Linked DNA regions of Caenorhabditis elegans. The protein of the gene in region 2 interacts with the protein of the main gene of each other region in a pairwise test. Each region holds a gene or a part of one and is shown on either strand. Other genes may lie near its edges.

The links. Proteins that work in one complex are often made in the same cells at the same time.
Region 1: the proteins of ret-1 (region 2) and tag-51 interact in a two-hybrid assay, tested with the Caenorhabditis elegans proteins (2 studies listed by BioGRID).
Region 3: the proteins of ret-1 (region 2) and rme-1 interact in a two-hybrid assay, tested with the Caenorhabditis elegans proteins (2 studies listed by BioGRID).

Annotation. Positions count from the first base shown.
Region 1 is NC_003281.10:851,981-857,035, forward strand, and holds tag-51 (uncharacterized protein), read left to right. Parts: upstream 1-2,240; 5' UTR 2,241-2,258; coding exon 2,259-2,403; intron 2,404-2,449; coding exon 2,450-2,753; intron 2,754-2,803; coding exon 2,804-3,430; intron 3,431-3,983; coding exon 3,984-4,452; 3' UTR 4,453-4,555; downstream 4,556-5,055. Other genes in the region: moma-1 (MICOS complex subunit MIC27), read right to left, coding at 150-416; rnp-5 (RRM domain-containing protein), read right to left, coding at 960-1,104, 1,157-1,798, 1,846-1,928; K02F3.12 (Putative ATP-dependent DNA helicase Q1), read left to right, coding at 4,595-4,792, 4,843-5,055.
Region 2 is NC_003283.11:14,843,918-14,849,540, reverse strand, and holds the start of ret-1 (Reticulon-like protein), read left to right. Parts: upstream 1-2,228; coding exon 2,229-2,325; intron 2,326-2,944; coding exon 2,945-5,623.
Region 3 is NC_003283.11:6,207,992-6,216,167, forward strand, and holds the start of rme-1 (Dynamin-type G domain-containing protein), read left to right. Parts: upstream 1-2,176; 5' UTR 2,177-2,284; coding exon 2,285-2,479; intron 2,480-2,695; coding exon 2,696-3,161; intron 3,162-3,930; coding exon of another isoform or gene 3,931-3,946; intron 3,947-5,724; exon of another isoform or gene 5,725-5,940; intron 5,941-6,826; exon of another isoform or gene 6,827-6,835; coding exon 6,836-7,018; intron 7,019-7,075; coding exon 7,076-7,415; intron 7,416-7,564; coding exon 7,565-8,176. Other genes in the region: W06H8.2 (NADH:flavin oxidoreductase/NADH oxidase N-terminal domain-containing protein), read left to right, coding at 61-489.

The DNA.
Region 1 (5,055 bases), on a different chromosome or scaffold from region 2:
GGTTTTCACTTGAAAAAACTACAGATATCAAATAATTACTTAAATACAAAAAATTAGCTAAATAAAATAATCCAAACTCTTCTTTTAAAAAAAAACCAATTAAAAACGAAATATAATTTTTTCTCCACATAAAATCGCGTAAAACTCACAGCAACACGATCATACTCCTGCTCACATGCGATACGAATAGTCGCGAATTCTCTTTGAAGAGGAAGTGGCTCTTCTGGAAGGAATTTCTGCTTCAGTGGAGCATTATCTTCAGCATAAATCGGAAGTTGCTCAATCTTAATAGGTTTTGAATCTCCATTATTCGTCGTGTTTTTCGAGGTGACAAGTTGCCAGAATTGTCCAAAAACATTTGTCACTTGTTCACCGGCGTTTGAAATTGTCTCCACAATCGGCTTGTCTTGTGTCATCTGGAAAATCAAGCGGTAAAACAATAAAATAATAAAACAAGAATAAATATTTTAAAATTGATTAGCTTATTATAATTATTAAAAAACCATGAAGAAATAAGTATTCCTACATTTGTGGCGCAAAATATCTCGTAGCGCAGGCTCTGTGTCGATTTACGGAGTTTGTGTTTATTCACGATGCGCCTTTAAACAATTATTTAAAATTGATTTTCTTTGTATTTAATTACCACTTTTTCATAAATCGACACCGACGCCTGCGCTACTATATATTTCGCGCCAGGCTTTCTTGTTTTTTTTTTAAATATTTTCTAACATTTAAACCCCTCTGAGGACGGTTTTAAAATTAAAATAGATAATTAACAGGCAATTAACCATGTCTTTAACCAATCCAAATTACCCTTAAAACACCCAAAATAATTTATTAAAAAAACGAAAATTGGGGAGATCTTTTGCATAACAAAACAGAAGAATAATAAACAAAGGATGTTCAGAATTTGGACAGTTTAGAATGGGGTTTTAAAATGGAACGTCAGTAATGGAAGTTTAAGAACGCGATCTTCTGCCGGCTGGAGAACGAGAGCGGCTGGCACGGCGGAATCTGTTGGGCCCTCCAAGTGGCATATTGTTGGCTCCTGAGCCACGGCCGCCCATTGGAGAACGTCTGCGATGTGGTGGTGGACTGCGGCCTCTGGAATTTGATGAAAATTATCAAAATATACTACTTTTCCTTGATTACTTACCCTCTTCTCATTGGTGACATTCTGTCTCTTGGTGGCGGCGAGCGTCTTCTAAATGGAGAACTTCTACGCTGGAATGGGACAGATTGTCGTCCGATAGTCATTTCGACGTGAACAGCCATTCCATCGATTTGTCCTCCATCCATGTGCTTGATCGACTTTTCGGCGTCTTCCAAATTGTCATATTCAACGTATCCATATCCACGATGAACATGGTTATGGAAGCGATCTGGTGGAAGATCGACATTCTTGATGGCTCCGTAGATCGAGAAAATCTCCTCGAGGTGCGTTTTCAGAACATTTCTGCTCAAATTTTTGATCACTACACGCTTGGCCGGACTGGCTGATCTTGCTGCTGGGCTTCTCCTCGGAGAAGCGCGTCTCCTCTGACGGCTCCCGCTTCTGTCACGACGATCACGACGTGGTGGCGATGGGGATGGACGACGGCGACGTGGTGGTGATGGTGATGGTCGCATTGGGCGATCGCGATCCGCGCGTGCTCCTCTTGGCGGTGAACCACGACGGATTGGAGAACGAGAGCGTCCTCCACGAGCTGGTGGGCGGGTATCACGACGACGTGGTGAGCGAGAACGAGAACGGCCACTGGACGATGAGCTGGAGGAGCGAGATCCTGATGAACTACTTCTGAAATATCGATTATTAAGCTATTGTATGAAAATTGTAAAGCATACCCAGAAGATGACGATCCAGAGCTACTGGACGAGCTGCTTGAAGACGAGCGAGCCCTCTTTTTGGTTTCTTCTTTCTCAACCATACTGAAAAATTATTTCATATACTCGAATAGACATCAACTAAGTAAGAAAATTTTCACCGCGTGGTGTTCGAGCAGAAGAAGAGACAGAATGTTGGCTAAAGCGCTTACTTTTTTGAGTAAATAATTAACCAAAAACAAGAATTACGGATTTTCAAATAAATTTTTAATTGAAAAACAAGAAAAAACCTATAGAAAAACTATAGAATTGAAAATATCGAATCATTTTTCGAAGAGACGCGGGTGAATGATTTACGGTAAACAACGCGCGCGGTGGAATATCGGAGTGTCGTTGCAAAACAAAACACTTTCGTTTTTTTTTTCAATTTCAAAATGGACTCTGCAGAATCTGAACTTTTAGAAGAAGAAGAGCTCCCAGAAATCAAATATATCGACTCTGCAGAATTCCAAAATTTCGATAATAACGCTGATCAGCGTGAAATTCAGTTTCGATGGATGGAAGCATTTGAAACAAAAGGTAATTTTTTCCCAAAAAAGTATTTTAGCACTAAATTCTTTTGCAGAACCAAGATGGTTTAGGCTTCTTGACGAATTCATCACTCCACTTTCTGGAAAACGTGGATATTGTTCTCGAATCGTCGAGAAGTACGCTCGAGTACTTCTTCATCAAGGATTTGAGTTGAGCCAGACGGATGGGCCGCTTCGTGTCGCAGCAATTGCGGCTTCGAGAGATGTGGGACAAGCCGGAAATCTTCCATCAGTATTGAACAATTTATCAGAAGTTACAAGACATCTGAATCTTGCTCAGTATGCCAGCACATCGCTCGCCACTGTAGGACAGAGGAAATTCGCAAATGAAGTCGTCCAGTGAGTGATTTTTTTTAAAATTTTATCTTTTCAATGGAAATTTCTTTCAGAAAAACTGTGAATCAAGAGCGCCTTGGTTGTTTTCACCTGTTCCTCATTGGATACCGCGAAGGACTCGAAAATCTTCTCTCAAATCATCGACACCTGCGAAATTTTCGATATAGTGCAAAAAAACGGCATGACCTTCTGACGGAGCACATTAAGAATATATTTCAAGAGCGAGATTCGTTTATTCAAGCACCAGAAGCTAGCAGCTTCGCACTTCAGACGGTTCTAGAAAACTGGACATTTCCACTTCAAAATGAACAAATTGTACAACTCGCCCATGCGAATACTCTTCAAATGCGCGCTCTTCACGTCAAAGGAGACGGTTTTTATTTTCTAAACGAAGCACTCAATGTGGCTATTGCATTCAACTGGTCCAGCTCCCAGGAAGAAATGGAAGAATTCTATTCAATTTTTACTCCACAAGCGACAAATCCACGTGGAAAACGAATTTTTCAATTTTGGAAAATGATTTCCAAGTACGATAGGAGTAATGGAAATGCACAAGGATTCTTGGTGACTGCTCAGCGATTAGAAGAGGAATCCAAGTCAGATGATATTGGAGCTGGATGTGTGACAGCTGTGGAACTTGCGTGTAAAATTCGCAACCAGTGTGATCAGCATGAAGACTTGTCAGTTTTCCGCTGGATTCCAGAGTTTCATATTTAGCAGGCCCAAAACGAATGCTTGGCAGATCCAAATTTTTCGCTCAATAAACAGCAAATTTACCTCTCTTTTCGTTTTCTCCTTCAATAAATCGAGACAGTCTGTCTGCTTTGGTCAGCTAAACATTTAGACCAAAGTTAGGTATGATAAATATTTAGCAGACCAAAGTTAGGTATGCTAAATATTTAGTAGACCAAAGTTGGGTATGCTAAATATTTAGCAGGCCAAAGTTAGGTATGATAAATATTTAGCAGACCACAGTTAGGTATGCTATATGTTTAGCAGACCAAAGTTGGGTATGCTAAATATTTAGCAGACCAAAATTAGGTATGCTATATATTTAACACACCAAAGTTAGGTATCCTAAATATTTAGCAGACCAAAGTTGGGTATGCTAAATATTTAGTAGACCCAACTCGAATACTTAAATAGCAAATTCTTCGTTAAAAAAACAACAACATTAGCTGAAAATGAGCCAAACCTCAGAGAAATCAATAATAATAATATTAACTGTTTTAGAAGTAAAACCATCATGGATACAATAACCCGTCACCCATCTCTCGGCCCCCGTATGATGCAATTAGCCGAACGATGTGGCGTTGGATACGAAAATGAAGAGATTATTCATCAAATCTGCGATCGGTTCTCCTTGCATCCTAGTGAGCCCACGTGGTTAGACTATGTGGAGAACCTAGTTCAAACGGTCGGAAGATTTGGATCAGTGAAAGAGACCATGCAGAAATCTCTAAAAATCATGTTCGAATTCCTGGATTTTGACTCTAACCGATTCAATGAACGAGCATGGAGTCTCTTTGAGAAAGTTCTGAGCCTAACTGATCCCTCGTTTGTGGTGCCTGAATGGAGAACAAGATTCGACTGGTGGCCGAAATATCAAAGATTAAGAGCAAAAGATGGGCGGAAAATGAGCAACATGGCTACGAAAACGAGGAATGATGTGCTGGAAGCACTAGAAGAATTGGTTCTCTGAACTTTGTTTTGTTATTATTTTTGTTGATTTTTTGTTGTTAATTGTTGTTAAAATACGGGTCTTTTTTCTCAGAATCGGTGTGAAAAAATTTGAATTTTTATTATTATAGGTTATTTTTTAACTATCCAAAAAGCCTTATCGTATGGCTACTTTCATATTTTCACGTGGAAATATCTTCTTTTATGTAAACAAAATAACTATTCCAGATCTCATGAGCGATGTTCTGCTCTCCAAGTTGTCCACAGAGCTTGCCGATCTCGACGGAGAAATCGGGCAGATTGATCAACAAATCAGCCAATTAAGACGAAAGAAATCGGAATTAACTCAAAAAAGGCAGGCTGTTAGTGACCGATCTCAACCAGCTAAATGTCTTTAAAATATTTATTTCAGATCGAGCGAAAAATCGAACTAAAAACGAATGAAGACTCGGATGTTGTGACGGATCGTTGGGATCGAGATGGGTTCCCATGGTCCGATGAAGCTACAAAGATCCTTAAAGAACAATTTCATTTGGAAAAGTTCAGACCTCTTCAGAGAGCCGCAATCAATGCAGTAATGAGTAAAGAAGATGCAGTTGTTATCTTAAGCACAGGCGGTGGAAAG
Region 2 (5,623 bases):
CCTGTTGCTAAATCTATCTACCATTTCGCACTATTTTTTTTCTTCTTCTTCTTCTGTTTCTCTTTTTTGACTAGTTTTGGCTTATACGTTGCTCTAACATGTTTGAGAAGTTTTGCACATTAAAAAAATAAGATTTCAAAAATTTTTGGAAAATTTTTGAGAAGTTTCAGCGTAATTTCAGAGTTAAAATTCAGATAAATTTTGAGCGATTTTTTTAATAAAAAATTAATAAATTATTTAGAAACGTTTTTTTTTGTTTTGAGACATTTCTTGTGCAATTTGTGTTCAATTTTTGAGCACTATAAAAAATAATTTTCCATATTTACGGTGCAATTCTAACAATGCTGAGTTCCCAATTTTTCCTGACGTTCTCCAACTTTTCTGACATGCCGTCAACTCTTTCATGAATTCCAAATATGAATGTTCCGTTTTGTTACTTCAAACTAAGTTTATACTGACAACTTCCTTTTTTTGGAAATGATTCATTTAGACTTGATATAATTAATTACCTGCCATTAGGTTTCTATCTTCTTTTCTATTGGCAGAATTATCTATCTTCTCTCGATCTTTTTTTTTATTTTGTTTTTTGTTTCATTTTCATTTTTTTTTCTCAAAATTTCATTTCACAACTTTCTCAAGTTACTCGATCAACTTCTTTCTTCTTTTCCAAAACTTTTTTCTGACAAAAAACTCTGAAACCCAACCCTCTCCCCCAATCCACGTCATCAAAACTCTCTGACCTACCTGTCAATGTGATTTACGATTAACAACAGATGCCCCTCTTACATCTGAACAGCCGACACAGCACGTGCTTTAAATGTTCTAGCTGTCTGCGTATCTAATATAAACTGGCATTTTTGTATGTTATAGATTGACAATTGACTGTAACTGGGGGAATGGAAACAGTTGGAAGTTTTCAAAATAGAGGTTATGGAAATAAAAACAATTTTGTTTGTTTGCTTACGTCACTCACCACACTCTTTCCATGAACATATGAGTTGATATCAATTGATAACATGGAAAAACGAGACAAATTGCATATTGCTATATTTATTTTCGCTTTTTCAGATGTCAGACTTTCTAAATTTTCAATATTGTTACTACTAGTACTGCTTCTTTTTTTGTGAGCTTATATCTTGGCTCATTTTTTTAAAAAGAGAAACGTCAGTAGGAGAATTGTTCAAAATATCTTCTATAGTGCAATTACCACTAAAAATTGCAAGATTTATTTACAATCAAGATGTGCCAATTTTAAATTTTCGCGGCTCATAAATTTGAAAGTCATTTTTTAAATCAACCAGAAAATGGTTTTTTATAACGGGTTTCAACATAAACGATTGTTTTGGATTATGTGAATTTGAAAAAAAATTTAATAAATTTGTAATGTTAAAAATATATTGTTGTTTTGGCAGTTTCAGAATTTTAATTGAATTTAAATTTGAATGTCAGAAAAAATTCAAAAATAAGTCAGTTATTGGAACTTTTTTTCAAAAAATATTTCCTTTGCCAATAAGCACTATAAAATCAGCAGTGAATTCGAAAAAAATTAAGTGGCTGTTAAATAAGTCAATATGCGTTTGAACAAATGACGTAGAAATTTGAGATCGACTTTTTCTTATTCACATTCGTGCTTCTCTGCGTGTTTTCCAAAACACGGTCGCTCTGTTTTGATTTCAACATAATATTTAAACAGGTGAACAGACCGCCATGCAAGATTTATCGGTCAATAAAAGGAAGCTGAAAAAACTAATTTCGAAACCTTCGAGAACAGAAAAAAAAACTGTTTCTCTTTCATGGGCAGGCATTTCATGAGATTTTTAAGTGCTTTCCTTTAAATAATTTTGAAGCCACCATGATTTTGAGCTTATCACTGACACCCCCATCTTTCCCCTATTGTCATTTGAAACGTATGACTTGGATCTCTGTTTGAGCTGAAAAAGAGATGAATGAGATGAAAGAGAAGAAGACAGAGGGCAACAACAAAAAGAAAAACAAAATAGCACAAAAGAGCGAGATGATCGAAAACCCCGAGAGAAAGCAAAAATGCTCATCACCTGCGGTGAGACGGCAGCTGTCCCCGCAGAAATATCATGTACCTGTGCGGAGACGCAGGGTATACAATCACATGGTGAACTCCTCGGGGTCCCTTCATCTCGTGTCAGCACATTTTTGTGAGCTCCAAAAAATTTTGTCACGAAAAACACCACTTCATGGATGCTGAAAACGAAATGAACGCTGAAAATGTCGATGTGGAACTTTTCTTTCGAAAACCACCGGAGATCACAAATTTTGAGTTGGTTAAGACAATTTGGATTGACCCGAAAGGTGAGTGTTTTTTCATATTTTTTTTAAATTTAGTTTGTAAAAATGCAGTTTGAAAAAAAAAAATTGAAAAAGCTTGATTTCTAATAGATTGTATCTCTTGCTAGTTTTTTTTGTGAATTTTGAAAATTTTGAAGTTCATAAGAAAAAGCATTATATAACTTTTTTAACTTAAAATTTCTGAAAAAAAACTTTAATAAATGTTCCACGTATCCAAGTAGGCACATATCCGATATCTACCTCTGAAATTTTTGTTTTTGATTTTTTCAGTTTATTTCTAGACATCCCGCAAAAATGATTCAAAAAATAGTTTTTAGGCATTAAAAAAGATAAAAAAAAATTTAAAAAGATAAAAAGGTAAAAAAGTCGACAAAATTATGTGGAAATTGTTTGGATTCCGATATATTTCGGAAAAAAATCTGAAAATCAAATTCGAAAACCCATATTAAAATATCGGAAAAGAGCTTTTGGAGCATTTATAGGTCTCAAAAATAAAGCAAAAAAACACTGAAATAATTAAAAATCAAAATTTAAAAGGTCGAGATTAATGCTTTGTCAAGGTCTTTCACTTAGAAAAAATAATATTCTTAAATTTCCTTGGAAAATCTTTTTGTCATTTCAGAGGAGACAAATTCCACAAACGAGCCAACATCTGAGCATGAGCCAAAATCCCTCCAGCCACTTGCTCTTCAACCCCTTCAAACTCCTGAGTCAGAGTCCGGTGGGTCCTCTTGTTCTCATTCGGAAGTTGAACAACTTCCTGACGATATTCTCAATGAACCTCTTGATGATGAAGTTTTTGAAGAAGAAGAAGAAAATGTGCAAACTGATTTACTGTTCCGTCAGCCAAAGAATTCAGAAATGGAATTAGCTTACACCATTTCAAAAAGTGCCGAAATCAACCTGGATGAATTGGAATTTGAGGATGAGGAAGTCGAAGTGGATCTTTTGTTCCGTGAGCCAACTGATCGTCGATTTGAATTGGTTTATACAATTCCAATGATGGAAGATGTGAGTATTGATTCTCAGGAAACCATTACTTTTGAGGACATTCCACCATCTGAAGAACTAGATAACGTTGTGGAAGAAGTTACAGATGTTGCTGAACTTACTGAATTTACATTTAAACCAGTTGAAAAAGATGAACAGACTGAAACTGAGTCATTCACTACAGTCCTAGAAGCGAATGCTGGAGAAGGTGCAAGAGACTTTATCGAAAGAGTTAAGTTGACTTCCAATGACACTTTGGATGATTTGGATGATGATCCTGAGGAAGAAACTTTCCAAAATTCGTTTGTAAAATCTGTGGACTCTAAGACGCCAACTCCAACAGGAGACAATTATGAAATTGAGGATTCCTCTGTATCTGATGTTCTCAAAGATGCAGCCGAAAAATTGCAAATAATTCGAAATTATTCTGCGGACTTGGAATCCGAAAAAGATACAATTAATACGGATGTTCAGCATGTCTTCATTGGTCTTGAGGATGAAGGTGGTGTTATACCAATAATCCAAGAAACACAAGAATATGTTGCAGAAATTGGACCTACTCAAGATAATCAAGAGTATGATTCTACTTCTAAAAGTGATTTGGAACCTCAAAGCTCTGCTGATGGGGTTGTGGAAACTTCGACTTTCGAAGCCCCAGCAGTCTTCGGATTGGAAGATTCTGAAGATATTATAAATAAGCATGCACTGGAAACAGCATCAAATCAAGAATTCTCGAAAATTAAAGAGCCTGAAGTGACTGAAGTTTCTGAAAATACCGCAGAAAATTTGAACGAAGAAGTTGGAGAATCTAAGAATCCGGAAGCAATCGATCTTGTAGAATCTGGAGAGAACGCAGGCATCGAGCAAAATGCAGGAGCTGAACAATCTCAAAAAGAAGCGGTTGAGGAAACTTCAAGTTTTAAAGCCCCAGCAGTCATTGGGTTGGAAGAATCTCGAGATATTTTGAAAGATCCTTTACTTGAAACTGCACCAGATCAAGAAAACTTCAATAATAAAGAATCTGAAATGACTGAAATTGCTGAAATTACAACCCCAATTAGACTTGAATCGTCTGGAGACAACTTCATTGGTACCGATCCAGAAAAGGGCACAGAACAAATTAAAGGTTCTGAGAGCTCCGAATTAGTAACCCAAGAAGTCATTGGGTTGGAAGAATCTGGAGATATTTTGAAAGAACCAGCATTGGAAACTGTAACAAACCAAGAACTTTCTGAAAATAAAGTTTCTGAAGTGACCGAAATTGCTGAAAATATAACCCCAATCGGACTTGAATGTTCGGGAGACAATTTTATTGGTACGGATCCAGAACAGCAGCCAGAGCCCATCAAAGGGATTGAAAGTTCAGAATTGGATGTCATTGGGTTGGAGGATTCTGGAGATGAAGTGAAACAATCACAGTTGAAATCTTCAGAAGATCAAGAATTTTCTGAACTTAAAGAACACGATGCATCTGGAAATGTTGATGAAACTGGTGAGAGCGCAGATATCAAACAGGATGATGTAACGGAAATTGTTCAAAGAGAAACGATTGGGCTTGAGGATTCTGGTCTTGCAGAGATTGTCGCTGCTCATGAGAAAAATTTGACATCTTCTGATATTGACAGTTCTGTGATTCCGGAAGATGCGGAAAATGCATCTCCAGAGGCGATTGGCCTTGAATCTTCTGGAGACAACTTTATCGGTACGGATCTAGAACATGAAGAAGGTCAGATTGACAATTGTGAGAGTTATGTATTGGAAACAGCAGCTGTCATCGGTTTGGAGGATTCTGGAGAGAACTTGAAAGATTCTGTACAGGAAGATCCACCGGAGAAAGAATTCTCTGAAAATAAAGAATCTGAAGTTACTGGGGATGTTGAAAATACAACTGCAATCGGACTTGAATCTTCAGGAGAACACTTCATCGGTCTGGAACAAGGACAGCAAGCAGCTTCCATTGAAGCAAATGAGAATTCTGAAATGGAAGCTCCAGCAGTTATCGGTTTGGAAGATTCTGGAGATAATTTGAATAGGCCTGCATTGGAAACTGCATCAGATCAGGAAAGTTCTGAAAATAAAGAACCTGATGCATCTGAAAATGTTGAAGAAACTGAGCCAGTTTCATCTGCAAAGGTAATTGCGCTGGAATCATCTGGTGATTGTGAAGAAGGAAATATCAAAATATCTGCTAATGAAAATAGCGTGGAACCTGATGGGGCTGACAAACCAGCACATACAGAACAAGAAATTCCCACAATAATTTTGCCGTCTGAAACTACAGTCACTCAGCTAGAAGATCATCTTTCTGAAA
Region 3 (8,176 bases), 8.6 Mb from region 2:
CCTAAATAACTTCTTTCTCGGTTCCGTGCGGTACTAATTTTTATCATGTTTTTTTTTCAGATTCGCCCAGTTTTCAAAAACACAGTTGTCTACTTGACTGGAGGTTTCCGTACAGTTAACGCAATGGTTGAAGCTATCAAATCCGGAGCCACACAAGGAATTGGTTTGGGTAGACCGATTACTGCGGAGCCAGATCTCCCAAAGAAAATTCTGCAAAAGTTGGCCCCTTCAGCTGTCTTCGATGCAATTGATCAAAGTGAATTTGTCCTCTCACTTCTTGCGAGCAACACTCAAATTGAACAAATGGGACGGAACTCGCTGAAAGAAGCAAACAATGATGTCACTTACGGACTCAGTGACTTCAGTGATGAAGATACTGTGAAAAGATTTGGAAAAGCAGTTGAAGAATTCGCCGAACTTTTGAAAATTCAAGCATCTCGAGGTGTCGCAATTCCAAATGTGATCACATTCGAAGGAGTGAAAGCATAAATTATGCATGTTTTTAATCTGTTTTTTTCAAAATAAATTTGTAGCGAGATACATAAATGTAAATAAATTATTGTTGATTTACTTGTTTCATACATCCATCATTTTTCATAAATCTGTCGAAGTTTCAGGTTAGGATTTATTTTCTTGTGTAAGGTGGGGAAATAATCTGGAATTCTTTTAGAAGAAACTGTCAAAAAAACCGTAAACTCGAAATTATTTGATTGAATCATAGAGCCATTCTACGGGAATATTGAATGAAACACAATTGATCAATGCATTGAAAAAATCCAATATTACGTCAATAGGATTTACATAAACAGCGTACAATTGACACTATCATCTACTGAAAAAACGAAGTTAAAACCTTCAAAAGTTTCCATTCACGACTGTCATTATTGTATAAAATGTATAATTTTTTCCGTACTGTTCCACGAGCTAATCGAAATGAAATTACGTTCTATCCAGATTATGAAGGTGAGAAATGACGTAGCTGTGCAAAATTTTTGAAGCTCTAATTTTGTTTGAAAATAATTGAAAGAGTTTTGATAATAGAGTTTTTTCTGAATTTTAACACCTACGCAACTATGATTTTGTCCATAATATTGGGAAAAATGTATACGAAATATGGGAATCCGCATCGATTTTTGTTTTGTTCGTTTGTGTGCCGCTTTTCGGAAGGCAGCCACATTTATGTTCAAACATTGACCGTTTTGTCGACGGGGATATCAAAATTGTTGGATTTCTTATAGTTTGTAGCAATATTTTATTTATTTTTAACAATATTTTGGTTAATTGTTTTTGTATTAATTTTATAATGATTAAGTTTTGGATTGATTCTTCTTGGTTTATCAGAAAGAAAGAAAACATCGTATGTTTGCGCATCCACTCAATTCAATGTTCGCTCACAAATGTGCCCATTTCTGTGCATTTGAAACGAATATTTTTGAACTACATATATAATTACTCGTAGAGCTCATTAAAGTTTTCAAGTGTACCACTTTTGGATATAATTCTTTGGGTGATAAAATTCACCTCGAACATTCAACCTTGGCACAAAAAATTCCTGAATTCACCTGATTTAATTAATTCATATCATTTTTTGTGATTTTTTATTAGGCCACGTTGCACAACTTTTTATGTGTATTGCTTAAGCACAACAAAAAATTTACACATCGTTTTATAATCAACTTTTAAAAATGTTGTTTTTCAGCTTTACATTCTAATCTTTGGTCATCTAAATTAACATTTTTCATTCAATGTGAATCATAATCTCTATTGAATCTCTCTTCTCACACTTGTTACATCCTATTTCATCAGAAAATCAGCTCTTTTCAAATTGAATATTCTCCCGCTTACCTTTAAATGATCTATTAATTTTTGACTCCACTCAAAACCTATGGGATGTCAACTTTGTCGACCAACAGTAACAGACGAAGATATCGATAAAACTCTGGTTATATTCCGTAAGAAAAGCACCAATCCCTTTGAAAAAACTTCTGAGAGATTCTCTTCAACAAACCCATTCGGAGGTGAAATTGGTGAGTCATTTCCTATTTTTAATTCTATTTGTATTTCATCATGTTCTGGAATGTTTCCTCCTGTTATCATTGTTCTCCTTATGCTTTTTTTTCTTTGCAAAGTGAATTGTCGCGAAATAAAAATTGATAACAAAAAAAGTGTGCGAAACTTGTCTCCGCCTCGCTTCTCTTCTTGACAGTTTTTTGCCTCGAAACTTGGAACATTTCATCGACTTTTTACTGGATCATTTCCTATTCCTCTTACAACAAAAGTATCGATGGAGTCTGTGAATAGTGAAGAACACAAAATAAACGAGGCACCCGCGCCACCCGTCATTGTCATTAATAGCTCCACGAAAGAAGAGCAGGAGGCAACACAAACCGACAGAATAGAAGGGCAAATGAAGAAAATCGATTCGGTCTTTGATGAGCAGAATGTAGCGTCATTGGAAGGTGTCAATTCAAAAAATGAGGTGGGTATTTCGTTTTACTTTTGATTAATTTATTTTTGGTATACACAAATTTTCATAATGTTTACATTTTCTCTCCAACCCTGTCACATTTGGTTTTAATTTTGCGTTTTTGCAAAAGGTCGGCTTCCACCAAAATGAAGCAGTAGCAAGAAATTTGTACTGTGCACTTTTAGGATTTTTTTTTCACCACTTTAAATAAATTGTAACGATTTTCAGATTTCCGGATCGGTATCAAGTTCCAGTTTTGAGGAGCTGAACGCAGAGACTGAAGATTTATCAGAAAGAAGTGAAGTCGAAAAAGACGAAGATCTAGGGAGAGTTGTTGAAGAACATAAAGAACCGGCACAAGTTCCAGTAGAATCGGAAACTCCGGAAACTTCTAAAAAAGAAATCCACCAAGAAGAAGAAATCTCTGAACTTGAGAAAGTTCCTGAAACAGTTGAAGAAGAAATTGAAGTCGTCAATACTTCCGTAGAAATTACTGAAGTAAAGAAGGAAGTGATCGAAGAAGTTAAGATCTCAGGCCTCAAAGAAGAAGAAACTCCGGTTCCAAAAATGAGAGCTCAGCAGCAAGTTCCAGTTGCTGCTGACAGGCCAATCAGGCGGCTTTCGATTGCAAGGGCATCTATGATGACCCCAAAAGCATCACCTAAACTTGCAAAGTATATGGAGCCGGTTAGAGGTAGATTTGTAGATTTTTGTTCATATAATGTTTTATGCGTCTACTTTTCTGCACTTTTTTAAACAACTAGTTGGAGTAATGTGGCTATCAAATTTAGTATTTTTCCTGCCAAATCCCAATGTCGATCTGCGATCGCAGTTCGAAAGTTTAAAACAACCTTTCCCTATTAGTATTGCACCCCACTATTTGACTTTGACAGATTATATAGGCAGAGGTTTTTTTCTGAATCTGAAGATGACAGTGCATATCAAAAAACCATTGCATCACTTTTCTTTGTTTTCATTCTGGAAAACGAAAGAACGCTTTTCAAAAGCATTTCCCAATGCCATTCCTTTTCTATTTGGAGTTTCTATCCTGCAGACACTTGCTATTCTTCCCACACAGTTCGATTTTCCATTGATTGAAAAAATTCCTGACAAATGGAACTTCAAACCTTTTTGCTTAAAGAGCTGCACTTTGCATTATTCTTTATCATTGTGAGCATCATTCGTTGACAGGTCACACTGATAAACATTTGGTCAGTGCCAATCAACGCATTTTCATACTCTCGCTATACAACTTTTCTTTCACATCCTCCCAGTACTGGAACACCATGTGCTCTGCTAACTTGTAAATAATTGTGTGCAAACTGTTTTATGTTTGCTCCGTTGAGAGGCAAAAGAGACAAGACCGCCCGTCATAGCGCGAGAACAAAACTTTTATAAGTATTACAAGAATTTTGACGTGACCAACTGATCGGTATCTGTTCTATTTTTTCGGGCATTTCGAAATGAGTAATCTTTTTGGTAAGTATGAACAGAAAATGATCATTTTTAGAAACTCTAACACCTAAATGGATAGCGTCCGAGTTTTTTGGAAAAGTTATAAAATTGATGATCAAGGTAAGGTTTTTAGGTTGTGAAACGGCAGACTTTTCAATCGCGTTATATTTTGATAATCTAGTTATGGCTTTCAAATCCAGAAGTTTCTGATAAAAGAACGAGAAAATCAAAAATTATTTTTAGCTCTACCTTCAAGTTTATATTTTTTGTATTTGACATTATATGATTTTCAATTTCACCTCAATTTCACGAGATATTAATCAAACGCTTGAAAGCTTGAATTTCTTGAAAATTTTCTTGTAAATCATCTCATATTCTCGTTCAAAAGGCAAACGAAACATGGTTTCCAGGTTCTATATGGTGTATTTTTTTCAAACATTTCAAGCTTTCTAGCTCCAACGTTCTATTTATATTTTGAAATTTTGATAAATTCTCCATTTTTTGAAAAATTCACACGGTCTAACGAGCTAATCATCATGCCGCAATCATCGCATCTTTCTTTTTCTTTTCTTCTTTTTTCTCTTCTTTTCGTTTCTTCCATCCCCCTACTCGAACAATTCAATGAAATAACAAATCGGTTACTTTATTTTGATTCAATTCTTTCCTCCTTCTACCAAATCGTCTCAAACATCGTCCGCTTGCGGTTGTCTCATTTTTCTTGATGCATGACCCCTGTGGAATCGATAGTGCACAAGCAGTTGCTAGAGTTCAGTGCTCCGTTGAAAGAGAAAGCGAGAGCATTCACGTTATATAAACTCAAACTAAACTTTTCTCTTCCGGCCTGCTTTCAATTTTATTTCTTCCAAAGAATTTTTGAGTTGGGTCTCTTGATTGATAGTGGTTTAGTTTTTGATTTTGACTACTGTATACCTATAGGTAATGCATTTGAAGTTTGTTATTTCCGGGTGATTTTCTTTAAAGTTTTTGACTTATTGTTAGATAGTTTTTCGGAATTTCAGTTACGATTCACACTCCAAACATGAAAAGTTGAATTAGTTCAACACAACTTTTACCTTTTCAATTTTCTATCTAGTGGAACAGGACACCGATTATACAGAAAATATTGTAGTTAGAGCAATTGAATTGTTATTGTGTTGAAATTGTATTATGTTATTTCTCAAGCAACCTCGTGATTTTACAACAAAATATTTTTATGTCGATTTCTAGTTGGAACGCAGAATACTACTATACGTCATTCTATTGATTGCATATTTTAATTATATTTAGTTACTAATTTCAATTTAATTTGACTAAATCTAACACAATTTGTCCTACTTATTCATCAGTTCCATGAAATTCCAAGCAAATATTGTGGTTTCATATTTACACTGCGACCATTTGATATATGCGCTGGTTTTCCAACAAAAACCATTCACAGCAAGCAATTCCGACAATGCTTTTTTTGTGTGTGTTCTCTTTTTTTCCCCATAAGATCTTTGCAGTTCGGCCGGTGGGTGATGGTGGTCAGTTCGCGTATTATTTTGACTTTTTCGTCTGCGGTCTACTTGGTCCTTAGACTCTCTTGTCTGGCTTTTGCGCAGTCTGTCGGTCGATCTATTTTCTCGATTCGACTACCTGATCCATTTCTAATTTTTCCTCTTTTTCTGTGATTCTTGATTTTTACGCTCTCTCGGCAATTTGTCATGTATAGAACGTCAACTATTGATGTGACCAGATGATTGTACTGTGTTCCCGATTTCATATAATTCATGAGCCTTTTAAGATGAATAAAACATTCCTCAAAGAATATGACTTCAGTCTCAAGCTTCTGATACTACATTGACCAGTTCCTAATGATCTTTAGCATTCTAATCACTCAATTAACATAAATTTTCTCAACCCATCTAATTTCAAAACCAATTGACGGTCTCTAATTGATGTTCTAAATGTTCTAATTTTCTATTGATATTTCCTGTTTGTTTTACGATCCTCCTCCCAGTTAGTGCATCATCATCAATAGGCCGCCACGTCATCTCTGCCCTCTCTGTGTCCATTCGCCTACATCTCTGTTCACACAGTGAATGAACACACTAGTCGTCTGTCAGTATCTGCGTCTCTTACCACATTTCGTGAAAGTCCCACTCTCTCACACCGCCTGATTGTTGGCTGGCGGCTATGATGACTCACTTGGTTTCAGTTCAACACGAGAATAGAGCCCCTATTTCGCAATTTCGATTTCTTTGGGTCTCACTGGGGGATTCTGAATTTAGTCATTCTATAAATTGGCCGGAAAATCTAGAAGAATTTTCAGTTTTTTCGAACTTAGGATGACGAAACTTGTATCACTTCAAGCTCGGTATTTTTCTGTAGATAACTTCTTTTTTTTTTCAGTGTTACATCAATTTAAAATTCAGAATTTATTAGGTTTTCTAACCAAAATATTGAGAATCTTCGTTTTTTTTTTGTTAAAGTAATGTCGTTTACTGTGTTTTTTTTTTTAGTTTTTCAATTCCAGCTGTACATATTTATTCACCACCACCACGGAAATCGAATTTCTGTTGAAAATTTACGTCAGATCTCGATTCATTTTATTTTTCTCAAACAAAAACTATTTTTAATATTAAAAATAACTTTTTATAACAAAAAACGAAAAATGGATGAGAGTAAGTCTAGGCCTGCAACTTTACTTTCTACAGTAACCTTAAGACGCATATACGAAACACATTTTGTTACTCGCTTGTTTTTGTTTTCCTCCCGCGAAATTTCCTTAATTTCTTGAAATATCTCACATGTTCCGTTCAATTTTCCGCCAATTCTCACCTCCTCAACATCTTGGTAAATTTTAAATAAATAAATTTAACATTAGTTTTAATCAAAATCTCATGATTTATTCTTAATTTTATCAGTTTTCAGAAGAAGGACAAAAGAAAAAGAAGACGAGAAGTATGTTTTCGTGGCTTGGTGGTGATTCGTCAAAAAAGAAGAACAAGGAAGTTTTGGAGACGGTTTCCGAAGGTCTCCGCAAGATTTACAAGCAGAAACTCCTGCCTCTTGAAGAATTCCACAAGTTTCACGACTTTCACAGCCCAGCTCTCGGTAATTTGAAATTATTTAGCATATTTATATTTTCAAAATAACGTTCCTTCTTTTCAGATGATCCGGATTTCGATGCCAAACCAATGATCCTGCTCGTCGGGCAATATTCGACCGGAAAAACGACTTTCATCCGTTACCTCCTCGAGTCCGATTTCCCAGGAATCCGAATCGGTCCAGAGCCAACCACCGACAGATTCATTGCTGTGATGCATGGTGATGAAGAAGGAAGCATTCCTGGAAATGCTCTTGTTGTTGACGCAAAGAAGCAGTTCCGTGCTCTGTCAGGATTCGGAAACGCATTTTTGAATCGATTCCAGTGCTCGACTCTTCCAAATCAAGTTCTCGAAAGTGTAACGATCGTTGATACACCTGGAATCTTATCCGGAGAAAAGCAAAGGTTTGTTTTAATTTTTAAATAATCGGAACACTACTTTCAAGGAGTTGTCCCCATTTGATGAAGCTCCAATAACTTATTTGTTTACAAAAACGAATGCTTGTTGGATCGAATTTCCACGATGCAAAAATAAAAATACTTTTTTATTCCAGAATCGATCGCGGATATGATTTCACTGGAGTTTTAGAGTGGTTCGCTGAACGTGTCGATCGTATCATTCTTCTTTTCGATGCTCACAAGCTTGACATTTCCGATGAGTTCAAGAGATGTATTGAAGCATTGGCTGGAAACGAGGATAAAATACGAATTGTTCTCAACAAGTCAGACATGGTTGATCATCAACAGTTGATGAGAGTCTACGGAGCTCTGATGTGGTCACTGGGAAAAGTATTCAAAACTCCAGAAGTTTCACGTGTCTATTTGGGATCATTCTGGGATCATCCACTTCACTACGATCTCAATCGTCGACTTTTCCAAGACGAGCAGCACGACCTGTTCCAAGATCTTCAAGCATTGCCACGTAACGCTGCTCTCCGAAAGTTGAACGATCTGATCAAGAGAGCTCGTCTCGCCAAGGTTCACGCATACATTATTGCTGAGCTTCGTAAGCAAATGCCATCGATGATCGGAAAGGATAAGAAGAAGAAGGATTTGATCCAAAATCTTGACAAGATCTACGAGCAACTCCAGAGAGAACACAATATATCTCCAGGAGACTTCCCAGATGTGAACAAGATGAGAGAGAAGCTTCAAACACAGGACTT